2 linked regions of the Oryzias latipes genome follow. The protein of the gene in region 1 purifies or fractionates together with the protein of each later gene. This does not show direct contact. Links are inferred from orthologs where the notes say so. Each region holds a gene or a part of one and is shown on either strand. Other genes may lie near its edges.

Evidence for each region.
Region 2: the proteins of mad2l1 (region 1) and kif20a purify together in Homo sapiens (affinity purification with mass spectrometry; 4 studies listed by BioGRID and IntAct, with this or other methods). This does not show direct contact. The link is inferred for Oryzias latipes from reciprocal best matches to the Homo sapiens genes MAD2L1 and KIF20A.

What each region holds. Positions count from the first base shown.
Region 1 is NC_019876.2:30,699,949-30,707,731, forward strand, and holds mad2l1 (mitotic spindle assembly checkpoint protein MAD2A), read right to left. Parts: upstream 4,947-7,783; 5' UTR 4,826-4,946; coding exon 4,762-4,825; intron 4,293-4,761; coding exon 4,146-4,292; intron 2,511-4,145; coding exon 2,390-2,510; intron 1,537-2,389; coding exon of another isoform or gene 1,534-1,536; coding exon 1,430-1,533; intron 1,353-1,429; coding exon 1,171-1,352; 3' UTR 961-1,170; downstream 1-960. UniProt on the Homo sapiens protein: Component of the spindle-assembly checkpoint that prevents the onset of anaphase until all chromosomes are properly aligned at the metaphase plate.
Region 2 is NC_019872.2:14,182,254-14,189,750, forward strand, and holds the start of kif20a (kinesin-like protein KIF20A), read left to right. Parts: upstream 1-2,478; 5' UTR 2,479-2,704; intron 2,705-2,921; 5' UTR 2,922-2,927; coding exon 2,928-3,101; intron 3,102-3,303; coding exon 3,304-3,414; intron 3,415-3,503; coding exon 3,504-3,623; intron 3,624-3,701; coding exon 3,702-3,840; intron 3,841-3,927; coding exon 3,928-4,103; intron 4,104-4,178; coding exon 4,179-4,278; intron 4,279-4,413; coding exon 4,414-4,626; intron 4,627-4,726; coding exon 4,727-4,838; intron 4,839-4,912; coding exon 4,913-4,987; intron 4,988-5,064; coding exon 5,065-5,205; intron 5,206-5,307; coding exon 5,308-5,476; intron 5,477-5,564; coding exon 5,565-5,717; intron 5,718-5,913; coding exon 5,914-6,053; intron 6,054-6,250; coding exon 6,251-6,353; intron 6,354-6,465; coding exon 6,466-6,664; intron 6,665-6,747; coding exon 6,748-6,839; intron 6,840-6,915; coding exon 6,916-7,053; intron 7,054-7,439; coding exon 7,440-7,497. Other genes in the region: cationic amino acid transporter 2-like, read left to right, coding at 644-746, 960-1,093, 1,168-1,334, 1,514-1,622, 1,733-1,818. UniProt on the Homo sapiens protein: Mitotic kinesin required for chromosome passenger complex (CPC)-mediated cytokinesis. Following phosphorylation by PLK1, involved in recruitment of PLK1 to the central spindle. Interacts with guanosine triphosphate (GTP)-bound forms of RAB6A and RAB6B.

The sequences.
Region 1 (7,783 bases):
TGATTTGATATTTCAGAATGACCTGATAAGTTTGTATTTGTTCACAGCAAACACGAAAACGTTTAGTCTTTTATACAGTTTTCACAATGTCTAAACTATTGCATATTTATTTTGTATTTATTAGAGTTTCTATATTGTACGGTTGGTTGAGAGCACATGGTTCTTAGAGGTGACGTTTGATACAAACAATATCTATTTTTTCCTCAGGTGATTCTTCAGAACCAGTCTGAAGAATTTGCTGATGAAAATGGTTCTGAATCTTTCCAGCGTCTTGTGATAAAAGAACCATCTCAATATATTAAAATAACTAAAAACAGTGTTTGTCTTTTTTGCCAATGGCAGCAGAGACCAAGAAAACTGTCGACTTGATCTTTGTCTACACGTTTACTGAAACAACCGGTGCCTGATGGAGATCTGCTGCCCAACACGTCTGTGTCCGAGGCTCTGGCTGACTCCTGTTCATGTAACCCTTGTGCTCTCCTATGGGGTCCAGATGACCCCCCCCCCCCCCCCTTCCATTGAGGTGTTCTCCCTACCATGAAAAAGGGGGATAAAGGTGGAAAGATTTCATGTAATCCATGGACACCAGTGAAGATCACAAATCATTGCAGAAAAAAGGTTCAGAGCTCTGTGCCTAAAGTGCCTAGGATAGCACAAGGGTTAAGGAACTTATAACTTTATGAAAGTTTCACTTTCGCTCAGTAGTTGATCAAAAGTTGTAGAATTTCACCTTAAAATGGGTTAGTCTTCTACTCAGCAGACGGACCCCCCCAGTACAGTGAGGAACCCTACGGTTCTGCCAGGCCCGCCCGTCTCCAGCTCATGATCAGGACGACCACGGTGCAGCACTCATGAACCTGATTCTTTCCCGCTGTAAATTCCCTCAATGCATCGCGTAAATCTACACCCCCACTGAATGCTGGGAGTTGCATCAAAAATGCTCCCCGCACAAAACACAAATCACACTGAGAAAAGAATTTAATGATGTAAAAAAACGAAAGCATCTTCTGAGGGGGAGAAAGATCAGGAAAACACAGATCGGACAGACAAACTAACAAAAAGTTCCATCAGATCTCACTGAGCACAGGTTCGCCTCATCCTCCAACAAAGAAGAAAGTCCAGTCCAGGAAAGCAGGAGTTCCTCATGAGCTCAGAGTAAACGTCTGCAGCTCAGGTGCTGCAAGCCGAGTCGGTCCTTTTGTACGCCACCATGCTGCTCACTTTGTGGATAGAGGTGGTGAAGGAGCGCAAGCGCACCTCCTCTGATTGGTCGATTATCTGAGGCCCCGACTCTTCCCACTTGTCAGGAACCACCAAGTCTTTGTCCGTATACACCAGGAGGTCAAAGGAGCCTGCAAGAACAACTAATCAGAGGGCCGGCCGAGCAGGGAGGAGCTGCAGGAGTCACAGATGGATTATGGGAACTCACACTGCGTCTCCAGCAGAGGCAGGAAGGTGACGGTGGCCGTGATCTGTCTGATGACGGAGCGGATCTCATCCTGAATGGTCTTGATGGACTTCTCTCTGGGAGCACTGCTTTGAAAGGATCAGAGTCAGAGGTCAGCACACAGAAACAAAGGCTGGACTGCCCCCCTACCCCTCTGGCTCCAGCTGAAGGGGCATTTTGGAGCTGTAGTGGTGTCCCACAGTGATTCAAAGGAGGAGCCGTGGTGGATTGCTGGTAGGACGATCCGCGTCACGCTGTGGCGTTGAGGAGAAACGCATTTCCTCACGTGGGTGTGCGCTGAAGCACAGACGTTTACATTTAAATGTAAGTCATGACTTTGTTTATGCGTGACTTTTTAAATAAAACCCATGATGTGTATTTTCTGAGCGCTAACGCAGCAGACCGACTACTATTCATGACGTTGTGGAGCGGTTGTAACGTCCGGATTTGAAGACACTTTTCTCCATAAACTCAGTCATTGTAGCTATTTGGACGGCAGAGCAGCAGCCTGAAATAAAAACCACAGAAACGTTTGCTCCCTCAGAATGAGAACCTGATTTGGAGTACATGCCGAGTCCCAACCCCACAGAAAACCTTTTTTAAGGTTTAAACCGAATCCCAATTCCTCCCAGCTCCTGCCCATCCCCCCTCCAGCAGTTATGGAAACATTTGAACATTACCAGTCCTGGATGGCGTCATCAATAGCTGCATATCTTCTACGTTAGCATTTAGCTGCCAGCGCTAGAGAAACACACAACATGGGTTTTCTAGCCTTGACCTACATTTAAATGTAAACTCTGCTTCAGAACACGCCTATGTGAAGAAATGCGCTTCTCGTCCACGCCACAGCGCGCCGCGGATCACGCTAGCGGTGGTGGGATAGCCAGCCCCTGGAGAAGCTCCTTTCCTCTTGAGACATTTGGAACTGGAGAGCGGGCTCACCTGCTCTCTTTGGCCGACTTGTCACACTCGATGTCAAACTGCCATCGCTCCAGCACCTCGTTGGTCTCCAGGCAGGTGATGACCAGCACCAGCTTCTGCACGCTGCACTCAAACAGCCATTCTGAAACCCAAACCCGCGTTACACGCCTGCTTTAAGGCCTAACACGCAGACCAGGTAAGTCCAGGCTCAGAGATTTGCAGATCACCGTCCCGTTTTACCTGGACCAGGTGTGTCCATCTGGAAAACAAGCCTGTTCTAACATGACACAAGAAAAACCTATTCCTGCTGTTTCAACACCACCAACACACGAACCGAGCTACACAAACGTCTTCAGGATGCTAATTTTCTGCTGATTCTTGATAGATAGCTTGTGGTGTCCCACAAGGATCAATTCTGGGCCCGCTGCTATTCAGTATTTACATAAATGATATATTCAATGTCTCACAACTATTAAAACTCATTATTTGCTGATGACAGATCTATTCTATTCCATTCTACAAACAATCATAGGGAACTTAATGTGGTGAACATAGAGTTAACCCTTGTGCTGTCTTAGATGACCCCACCCTTACATGGATGTGTTATTCCTACCATGACAAAGGTGGATAAAGGTGGAAAGATGTCATGGAATCCATGGACACCAGTGAAGATCACAAATCATTGAAGAAAAAAGGTTCAGAGCACTGTCTAGTGGGTCTAGATGACCCAACTCCCAACGTTAAAGTGCCTAGGATAGAACAAGGGTCACACAAAATAAAATCATGGCTGACGACAAATCCTCCTTTAACCCAGATAAAACTAGTGTGACATATTTTGCTAACTACTACACCAATACCGATGTCTCAATTAAAATAAATGTCTTAATTTAAAGTGTTACAGAATTCAGATTCTCAGGCGTTTTTATCGATGACAAACTAAGTTAAAGCCTCACATCAGACACACACAAAATAAAGTCTCCAAAAGTATTTCCATCATAAGTAAATCTAAACATATTAAAATACGACAGTAGATATTTATTACACTGCTCCTTAATTTTACCATATTTGACCGACTGTGTAGAAATTTGGGGGACTGATTCTAAGAGTTCACTACATCCTCTGTTTACTTCAAAAATGAGCCGTCAGAACTGAACATAAAGCCGGATATCCTGATCATACAAACAATTTGATCAATCCAGACTTCTAAAACTGTATGATCTTGTTGTGTTTTAACTTCTATTCAGAGCCAGTGGGAAATCGTTACCATTCAATACCAAACAACACAAAAGAGTTCTTAGAAAATGAAGGAGGAACAAAGTGAGGGGATGCAGGAACTTCAAGACCAAACTGACAAGAACCACAAAGACAAGTTTGTGTCTCATTCAATCAAGCAAATGTGACTTACGGTTTTAATCTATGCATTTCATCATTTCTGTAATGACTTTGAGAAATCTGTGTAAATTCTTCAATGTTGCGTCTGACCCTAAATTATGATGAACTCTTTGGGCTTTTAGAGGACTTTTGGGCAGGAAAACATCACTATTTAGGCACATCGACACGTGGAAACAACATGAGGTGTCAATCATCCCAACATCCACCTCCATATCCCATAAATCTGTAAAGAGAAACAATATCCCACGCCTCTTGTCTTCAATAAGCCTTTGCTGGACGCTGACAGACAGGAATTGCATCTTGATCATTGCCTCCATGTTAAGAAATAGAAAAATAAAGTCCTAACAGACACGGCCTGCTTTAGGACAAAGAAAGGACAAACTACCTTTGAGTTGAGACACCACGTTGGTCAGGTAGTTGTTCAGCCTGGGCTCCGTGGAGACCTGGAGGCTCATGTCATAGTGAGTGACCCTGGTGAACGTCTCTGGGGGGTAAATGCCCCGCTGGTACAGGATGCTGTTGATGCCGAAGGCTGTGGGGAGGATCACGGGGCTGTTATTAGCGGGGGGGGGGTTGTGACGTTAATTCAGGTCAAAGACTGAGAACACTCTTTTCGTCCACACTACTCTACGTTAGTTACTCAGCCGATGATAAGTAGTTTGTGTCTGTTCAACCCGAAATCTAGCATTCCTACTTTAACTCTGGTGACGCTCGGCTTCTTTACCAGCACACCTGGCGGTGGGCGGTGTTAGAAAGCCGCCATTAACCTACACATCGACCAGAAGCAGCCATTCGATCTTTAAGAAGTTGGCTTCAGAAGGAAGGCTTTTAAAATGCTGCGACGGTTTAGGGCTCTGCCTTCGGTCTGGAGCCGCCGTAAATACACTCGCTGGCTACACACAACAACCGAGCACGCGGGCCCGACCGCCCGCTAGCACACAACAAATGAGGAAGAGCCGTTGAAAAGCCCGGCTAGTACAGAAACAAATGTTGAAACATACAGAAAAACTCGGCCACCAGCTCCGCGCTTCCTTTAAGGGTGATTCCTTTTAAAGTACTCGTCATTTCATGAAATGACAATCAACCGTTGAAAAGAAACGTCGGGCTTCTTGCTGCACTGAAGGCTGAAACTGGTACCCGCCGTCCGATTTGAAAAATCAGTGACAACCTCTACGCATGCGCAAAAAAGACAGACCTCCCCACGTGGTCAACCCTAGACAGGAGAAAATGACTTTTTTCTTTTTTTGAAACTTTATTTATACAACAGTAAACATCACATCGGCAAGTTTACCGTCAGATGGCAAAAATCAATGTTATCTTAAAAAATAAAGAATAAATTATAGTATGTAAATAAAATTAACAGGGACATCGTTAGCAAAAAGGAAAATTTAAAAACAAAAATAAATAAAAATATATTAAAGTATTTCTCAGTAGAGGGAACTATTCATCAAGCAAAAAAGCTCATATTGTTTCAGTGTTATGCCTTGAATGTAATAATCTTTTGAAGATATTAGTAAAATTGATAATCTCTATCAAAAATCCTGTAAAATTGTTTTTTTGGTTTTTTTTACTCAGCACTTATTTAAATAGAAGTAGTAACAAATCAATACTATTTCCTACCAATTGATCCTGCGAGTTAAAATATGTAAGAATGTGTTTGAAATATATAATAATAGTACTGTTCATGCTTATAAATCTTTTCAATTGGATCCAGAATTTAAGGGAGAATTGACAATGGCAGAAAAGGCGAAGAACTGATTTTGGGAAATCATTACAAAAGCTACAGTTATTTCCTATATTTGAGAATTTGAATATGAACATAGTGTGGGGTAAATGTTATGTAGAATTCATTTGTGTATTTCTTTAATTTTGTTATTTATGCCAAATGTTTCTGGCAGTAACTATGCTTTTGTCCAAATGATAGTTAAAATATTATTCCAATAAATTTCTCCTTTAGGTGTTATGCTTCTTTTTTCATATAAAGTAGTAAATATATGTTTGTTGTAGCATTTTTTATTGAAAATATCAATATCATTAATTGTCAATAGAGGGTCTATTTTTAGATGCCTTGTGATATTTAACCCTTGTGCTATCTTATGTCCCCACCCTTGAGTAACCGGCAGGTCGGCCTGTGACAGGTGCATGCCTGCTTGATTGGGGATGTAGTTCAGCTGTTCTGCTTCTTTATAAGGAACAGGGAGTGAGTTGACAGACAGTGGCTGCCTGCCTGCATGGTGGTATGTATGGCTGAAGCTCCTCTTGTCGGAGAATGTAGATCACCGGTTACTCATTTTTATTCTGCTCTTTTAACTAGATTCTGTTAGCGGCTGGACGTGTTGCAGATGTCATGAGCCACTGCGTGTTCTTTACCCACCCTTATTATACATTTTAATGTGTTTTAGAGTGGTGCTGTATTTATTGTGTTGTTGACTCTGATTCCTTTTTATTGTTGCATAGGTGTGAGTCGGGCGCCAGTGCGTGTGGTGTTGGTGAAGGGGCCCCTTGTGGCAGCGTCTTCCTCACTGTATTTATTTCCTTTTTAGTGTGTAGTGGAAGTTTCTTTGGCACGTTTTTCTTGTGTGTGTGTGTGGATTTGTTTTCAGCACGGAGTGGAGTGAGGTGCGCTATGTAATCCATGGACACCAGTGAAGATCACAAATCATTGAAGAAAAAAGGTTCAGAGCACTGTCTAGTGGGTCTAGATGACCCAACTCCCAACGGTAAAGTGCCTAAGATAGCACAAGGGTTACGGGGAGAGGTCATTAGTTGAAATAATCCTGAGGGAAGAGCTTTCATTACAATTTTCAATTCTTTTTGCTTGTTATTGGAAAATATTTTTTAAGAACCTGTCATAACCCAAAAGGGTCTTTTATTTTTTTAAACCAGTGTGGTGAAAAATTATGTAACACAGTGTACTGGGTGGCTGTGGGGTCGCGTTCTAAGTTCCGGTGTTCATTGAACGCATCAAGCAGAAATGCTGATTGGCTCTCAGTTCTGTCGCTCAACCTGTAGTTGGGGAGTTTGGTCCAATAGGGTTCAGCTATGGCCCGAATAAGGAAATGGGGCTGATGCAGGAGCAAGGGAATAAAGTTTGGGGGAGTGCTCTCAGCGGGAGGATACAAGAGTTTCTGGGCAAGTTGTGCAGCATTGGTTACAGCCTACAGTAACCAGAATAAATAACCTTAACCCTTGTGCTATCCTAGGCACTTTAACGTTGGGAGTTGGGTCATCTAGACCCACTAGACAGTGCTCTGAACCTTTGTTCTTCAATGATTTGTGATCTTCACTGGTGTCCATGGATTACATGAAATCTTTCCACCTTTATCCCCCTTTGTCATGGTAGGGAGAACACCTCAATGGAAGGGGGGGGTCATCTAAAATAGCACAAGGGTTAAGAGATTAAGTCTCCGTGCCTCAGTGTGTGGGAAAGGGACGCTACAATTGCATTACCGGGGCAGCTCTTTCGGCCAAGGCGAGCAATTAAGAGTTCTGGCTGTTGACATCGACAGATTAGTTAACCAGATTTATGCTCACATGCCCCCAGCCATTCAGGAAGAGCTAGCCCGGGACCAGACGACCTTCGCGTTCAAACCCAACCAGCGCACCGTAAGTTACTGCAGGAGGCCCTGGAGCTGGCCACAGAGAGAAAAATGCTGTGGAGGCCCTCCTCCAGGGTGGAGCTTGAGGCCCCTCCAAAGGTTAGAGCTGCAAGTGTATCAGAGCCTGACACCAAGGGGCCTGCACGGGCAGAGGAGCTGACCCAGCTAGTAAAAGCTGTGACCCTGAGAAACGAACAGGCATCCAAGGTCCGCCCCCAAAGAGACTGGAGCTGACCCAGGACCTCCTGGGGTTGTGGGAAACCTGGGCACTTGATTCGTGACTGCCCGGACAACCAAGGAAACAGGAACGGGACCGCATAAGCGGGACAATGTGGCCCCCTGAAAAACCATCCCGATTGGACCCACAGAAATGGAATGCTGGCCATGTGGGGGTCAAAGAAGTCCCATCTGAGAGACTAATGAC
Region 2 (7,497 bases), on another chromosome or scaffold:
TTCATACTATCTATGAGCACCACAACTTAACGTAAATTCCAGAGAAAATAAAACAAGCTGGGATTTGAACTTTCCAAACTACTGGCACTTTAAACTTTTAGAACTACTGCATAATAATATTAACTTTTCAAGCCTTTTCACTTGATCATTGTAACTTTAGTTGGCTAAAATTACAAGACAAGAATTTATTCGGAACAATACAGATTCCTTCTTTCTGTTTGTGAATATAATTTTTTAACTAGAAAGAATCTTATGAATGTGTGCAGTATGAACACATTTCAGTTCAGAAATCTGCTGTACGCTTCCTGCAACAACTCTCTTTGTCCAAAAATGAGAAGTCGCAGACATTTTACTGACTCGAGTACATTTATGCTTTATTCTTCTTAGCGCTAAAATGCAAAACTCAGTATAGAAATACACTTCAAGATAAACTAGATAAACCATTGTTTTAATAGAAGTATGGCTAATCTGGAGTCTTTCCCTTGAGACCTTTTGCTTTTCTGGTATTTTTTTCTTTTCCAAAACACTGCTTTATTTATTTAGAATTACAGATATAAAGTTTAAACCTTTAAATCTACATTTAACTTTAATTAAATGAGGTCACAGGCAAGTGTGTTTATATGCCTATTGTTTATATTTGCAGCTTTTATGGCATTGCTCTTTGACCTGAAGGCACTAGTTGATATGATGTCGATTGGAACGCTTTTTGCCTACACACTTGTTGCTGTTTGCATACTCATATTAAGGTATGGTTTTATTACGTTTTCTAGAAAAAGGTGCTTACATTAAATTTAGTCATGAAAAATTCAGCTCTCTGTGTGTATCAGGAAAATACATTTCAATGAAGGTTGTGTTTTAAACTACTAACCATAACTGTCAGAACTGTTGCTAAAGTTTGGATAAAACTTCTTGGAGCTAAATGCAATACTACATATCTTAATATGCTCTTCCTCATAAAGGTACCAAGTTGACCTCAATGAACATTCAATCACAGGCAAACCAGAGCCTTTCACAATAAGTGGTGTGTTAAGTCCTCCATCTCAAGCAACATTCCGGACATCAAAAAATGTGTCTCTTTTAACTCTTTTTACTAGTAAGTAATTTTTCAAATTAAACTAAACACCATATTAATTGCTATTTTAATCAAACACTAATGTTATGTTGCAGTTTTTTTAGCTGTCATCTTAAGCCTTTTCCTTCTGGAGGCTGCCACCGCCCTGCACACCCATCAGGTGTGGAGTTTGCTTTGTGTCATTGTGCTTGTGCTTATGCTGGTTCTCACAGTTCTAATTATCTGGAGACAGCCACAGAATACATCGAAAGCTGCCTTTATGGTATGTCTCATTTTTTTGTTTTTGTTTTTTCTTCATGATGGAAATTCTTTGATGAAACTGCTAACTAACCATGCTTAGTAAAATAACTGAAAATGAAAGCTGTCACTGAGAACTCACTAAATGATTCTCGCACATATCCATGGGTTTGTCATAACACTTGCACTCCTTGATGTGTGCAGGTTCCTTTAGTGCCCCTGCTTCCGAGTCTTAGCACTTTTATTAATGTATACCTCATGGTTCAGCTTGGATCAGACACCTGGATTCGCTATTCAGTGTGGATGGCTGTAGGTATGAAAAGAATATTGCACTAATTTGAATATTGCTTTAACATTTCTCAAAACATTGTTTTGCATGAGAATAACCACTAGTGATGTCTTTTATGTCTTTTTTTTTATTAGGCTTAATCATCTACTTCTGTTACGGAGTTCAGCACAGTGTCCAAAAACAAAGGCTCCAGAATTCACAGAACCAAGTCCATTTTTAAAGCATTAATGCCACGAAAGAATGAAATTACTGGACCTGGGAAAGATTTTTATTGGTTGACCGTGTGCATATCTCACAGTTGTGTTTTGTGTATTTCTTCCTTTATTGTATGTACAAAAAACTCTTTCTCAATGCTACTATGATTTATCTTCATGTCTTTTTTAGGTTGATGGTGTTTAAGCTGAATGCTTTTATGTAAACCACAAGAATACCAATGTTCTTTATAGATTATATGCAGGCTATGTTTAAATACAGTATGTAATAATTATTGTATTTTTTTATTCTTCTAATTATGCAACAGGGGGTGAAAAAGTTTGTTTTCTTCTTTCAGTTCCCTTTAAGATTGTGTGTGAAATTTTGTTTTTGTTTTATGGAAATGAAAGCAAATGAGTAAAAATATTAATATTAATATAAATATTAAAAACAATGAAACGGTGCACAAAAAATTTCGATCTTTCTTTCGATCTTTTTGGTTGGTTTGCCTTTACTGTTCTTCTGTTTGTCTTTCAAGTTTTATTTTATTTTATTTCATTTTATTTCAGGAACGAAAAAGGAACTCACAAGTTTCGTTTATGTTTCAGAAGGAAGTATTTTAACTGAACACCGTGTCTTCTGCTTCCAGCCAATTGGAGCATAGCATACGCCCTCAAGCAGCCAATCAGCACCTAACTGAGGAGAGCAGCGCATTGTTCAAAAAATTTCAACGCATTCAGGCGGAGTAAACAGCCCGGTAGCCCAGAAAACCGCAGTTGAAAACCCATGGAGAGGATTTACCAGATATTTCGATAGTGTTTAATTCTTTAGACAATTTAGGTGAGACAGAAAGGTTGGCTATTTCAAACATTGGGATCTAAGCGAAGGAATTTAAATCTGACCTGTGCTAATCGGTAAGTTTTTGTTTTGAAAACCTGAATTTTCAAGACATGACAAAACATATAAGGAATAAAAGTTAAGTTGTGCCAATAATTCCCCAAAGTATGCTATGTTAGGTAACATTTGAAGTAAGTGTGTGTTTAGCATAAATACAAAATAGATTCTTCTGTAAATTTCATTTAGGGAGTGCCAACAACACTCATAACGGGAACGTGGTGTGTTTTGTGACAGGAAAACATGGCGTTGGCGTTCTCTTTATCTTCTCCATATGGATGTCCATCCGACGAGGAGGAAGAGATGGCTGTGTTCGAGTCCACAGCAGCAGAGCACGGATGCCTGACCAGGCCGCGTCTGCCTGAGCTCTCGGTCATTTCTCCTGGTCTGGAGCCTCGATCATCTGTTGCAGCTCAGGTGAGGATCTGCTGAATCTTGCAGTTTGGAGTGGTCAAACACAAGGTTTTTGTTCCCGCTATGCACCAAAAATGTTAAAATAATTTGTTTTTTCCTATTTTTATATTTTGAATTTTGGCGTGTTTAGTGTCAAACTTATCAAAATATTAGGGAAAAAAAGCTATAAATTTGGCAGCAATCATTGATTCATGTGTTTTTTCAGAAAGTAGTAAAGAAATCTGGAATCTGTGATGAAGGGAATATGGAGAAGGTGAATGTTTTCCTGCGTATCCGACCGCTTACAGACTTGGAGAAAGAACAGGGCGAAGAGCAGGTGAGTTATGTTGTCATTTCCACAAATACTTTTTTGTGGTTGTTTTCAGTTTTGATGCTTTTTACACTTAATTTTTGCTCCTCTTTCAGGGCAGTGTGACTGTCCAAGATGATGCCACCGTGCTGCTCAAAGCTCCAAGAGAGTCTCAGAATTCAAAGACGGCAGAGAAGGGAGTCACTCAGAGCATTCACAAATTCAGTTTCTCCAAGGTAAAATAACCAAACACTGTATGGTACCTCTAGAAAAGATGGATCCACAATTTTCTGTTTTCTCCTGTTTTCCCAAAGATCTTTGGTCCAGAAACGACGCAGCAACAGTTTTATGATGCCACGCTGAAGAAAATGATAAATGAAGTTCTTAAAGGAGAGAACAGGCTTCTGTATACATATGGTGTCACCAACTCTGGAAAGACCTACACCATCCAAGGTCAATTTTATTCATTCCCTGAGATGTTTTCAGCACAGCATCTGGTTCCTTTACTCCCATATTTGAGTTTTGAATGCCATTTTACAGGCAGCGGTCAGGAAGCAGGCCTCCTGCCTCGAGCTCTAGTATCCCTGTTCAGGAAGCTGCAGGGCCGCCTTTACAGCGCCATGGACCTGAAGCCTGTGATGTCTCAGGATGTGAGGCAGCTCGACTCAAGTGAGGTCAAGATGGAGGAAATTCGCAAAAACTCTCTGCTCAAGGAGGTAAATAGAAATGGAAAGAATGGTGCTATACTTAGATTTTGACACGTAATTTGAGGTGTTTATCGTTATTGACAGGATGAAAATCTAACGTCTCGGCGAGCTGGGACTACCACAGTTTGGGACAGCGGCGTTGGAGGACTTTCCTCCACAACTCAGATCACTACACAACTGGAAGGTGAGGAGGAAAGCCACGTGTTGACAAGTTCTGTCATTTTTAGATGAAAGTAATATGATCTAGTGAGGCATTTCCTACAGGCCCCCACTGTAAGAACGTATTCACCTGCTATTAGACCAAATTTTCTTTTTGCAGACACTGACAGTGTGTGTTTGGAGCCGGACAGCCTTTCTCTCAGTGGAGGGGACGACCTGGAAGAAGGGGTGCAGTTTTCCATCTGGGTGTCCTACTTCGAGATCTACAATGAGTTCCTGTATGACCTGCTGGATACCTCACTCTCCCTGCAGTCCCGAAAAAGAATCACACTGCGGCTGAGTGACGACAAGCAGGGCAACCCCTACGTGAAAGGTAACACCAGCTGGTCCTCTGGAACAAGTCTCTGCTTTGTGTTTGACTGTATAACATGTATACATAACGTTGAGTTCTTCTTCCCCTTTCATCGCCACAGACCTTACCTGGATCCAGGTGCGGAGCGCAGAAGAAGCCTGGAAGGTTTTAAAAGCTGGATGTCGAAACCAGAGCTTTGCCAGCACTCATCTTAATCAAAACTCCAGCAGAAGGTAGGACCCCAGCAAGAGGTTTTCTGTTTTGAATTCTTTTTGTAGCATATCTAATGGTTAATTCATGAATTCAGCCACAGCATCTTTTCCATCCGCGTTCTGCACGTCCACCCCGATGCAGTTCCAGGGCAAGCTTTGCAAATCAGCGAGTAAGTTCAGCTGCAGCAAGCTCAAACTCAGTGACATTATTTTGGGCGCTGCCATGTTTTGATCATGCACTTTCCAGGCTGACTGTGTGTGATCTGGCCGGATCTGAACGCTGCAAAGAGCAGCGTCTTGGAGAAAGGATGAAGGAAGCCACCAACATCAACACCTCCCTTATGACCCTGGGGCGCTGTATCAGCGCCCTGAGGCACAACCAGAACAAGTAGGTGTAAAACTGACACTTTGGTTGGACCGAGCAGAACAAAATGTGGGAGCTGAGTTGTTGAGTGAGGGATATTCAAAGTATTTTGTATCCCGTCAATAGATCACGGCCACCTCAAGTGGTACCCTTTAGGGACAGCAAACTGACGCGCGTCCTGCAGGGCTTCTTCTGTGGGCGGGGAACCTCTTGCATGGTGGTCAACATCAACCCATGTGCTTCCACCTACGACGAAACCCTTCAGGTCCTCAAGTTCTCTGCAATTGCGACGCAGGTCAGAAAACGAGTCCTTTACCTCGACAACTGGACTGGTTTAGCACTGCATAAAAGGACAAAAATGAAATAAAACCGTTCTTTTGCAGCTCGTCCACGGCCCATCTACTAAGACCAGAGTGGCCTACATTCTGTCCATGCTTCGTGAGCAAACGGCCAACAGGAACGAAAGCACTGTGATGGAGGAAGAAGAGGAAGAAAGTGATGTTGAAGACGGAGACATCACCATGTTAAACACTGAGGTAAATGTGTTGGATCTATTCCTGGTGTTCTGTTTTATCTCTGACCTTAAAAAAGATGTAATTTTCTTCTGAGAAATCTGATTTCACTTTGAGTGTTACAACATTTTGCAAGTGTTATGGAATATTTAAGATGAACATCTCATATCTGAAAAATTGTTCCCATTTTTAAATAGTTTAAATGTTTTACATTTTTAAGACTTTGCTGCAAGCAATTGATGTCCTAAAGCGAGAAGTGCGGCGCCAGCGTGAAGAGAAAGTGGCTCTGGAGGCCAACGTGAGGGAGCAGGTGGTCTCTGAGATGATGGAAGTCATCACCAACATGCAGGAAGGTTTCAAGTATGTGTTTTTTGAATAACAATCAGAATTAGTTGTCAATAAAAGTCAGTTGGGGTCAGTTGAATTTAAACTATCAAAAGAAACATTACATCCATGATTCTTTTTTGTGTCAGTGACTCAAAAGTAAAAGTATGCAATAAGTACACGTTTTTCTTTGTTGAGACGGCTTCAGGTGCTTAGCAGTTGCTTTCTTTTAGGGAAACCCTAGAGACTGAGAAAGGTCTGATTGAAGAGCTGTATGAAAACAAGATCGCCTGCCTGCAGAAACATCTGCAGAAATTCTACAGCCGAGAGCTCGAGGTCAGACTTGGATTTTCTATTTTTTTTTTTTTAACAGTTATAGGTTTTGTTTCCTCATAGAGGGTCAGGGTAACCCCCATGTGTCTAAAATCACTGTATGGATGTTTCATAGGAGCGGGATCAGGAGATTGAGGCTTTAAAGGCAGCTCTAAAAGAACAAAAGAAGGCAGCGGAAGGACCGGTCTCTATGCTGGAGCCTTTAGGAGACTCTGATTGTCCTCGGCGGTCGCAGCGGCTCAGCTCCAACGACGTCTGCAGACTGCGAGCTGAACTTGAACAGTGTCGCATCGAGCTTTTCGCCAAGACTCAAGGTAATTCATTTTTTCATGCATGTTTAAAAAGGTTATGTGAAATCGGCTAAATATTGAGTGTCTTAATCTGTTTGAATGCGCAGAACTAATGAAGCTGAGGGCGCAGTCCGAAGTGCCTGGTTCAGCTGGAACTGTCACTGGTGCAGCTGAGCGCAAGCTGCAGGGCTGTCAAAGGGTCAGTCCACTGTCGACTTCTTTTTTTTTTTTCCATTTGTGATTTGTACGAATAAAGGTGATTCATTCTCCAACAGAACCTGCGGCAGCTGCGTCTGGACTTGCTGAGGCTGGGAGAGGAGCTGCAGTCTGGGGAGAGAGCCTGCTGTCGCAACACGGGCGGGGAGAGGCTGCGCCACACATTAACGGCTGCAGATGAGACACTTGTTAAGCAGGTACAGCCGCTTACAGCCAGGAGAGCTTAATCCCTCTGTACACTCTGACTCTCTTGGTGTGCTCGGTCTTCTGTAGCAGGAAAAAAAGGCTTAAAATATGTGCCATTACACTTTCTTAGCTTTTCATGTCAGATGTGAGCAAGCCATCATTACAGCATTTAGAACGTAACTGTTCAGGTGTTTAATTCTCTTTAAATCTCTTTCTTCCCCCCTAAATTCTCTCTTTAACCCCTTGTCATGCACAGGCATCTTTAAAACTAAACCTAGGGTTCTAACACGTTCTCCTGGTGGCGTACTACAGCATGCTGCACTGTTGTCTTACTTCCTCCCCACGTTCAACCGCATCTCCTCCTCTAGTCTCATCTAACCAACTGACTTCTTCTTAGAACCAGATCCTGACGGAGCTGCAGAATGGCCTGATGTTGGTCAAAGCTGAGCTACGGC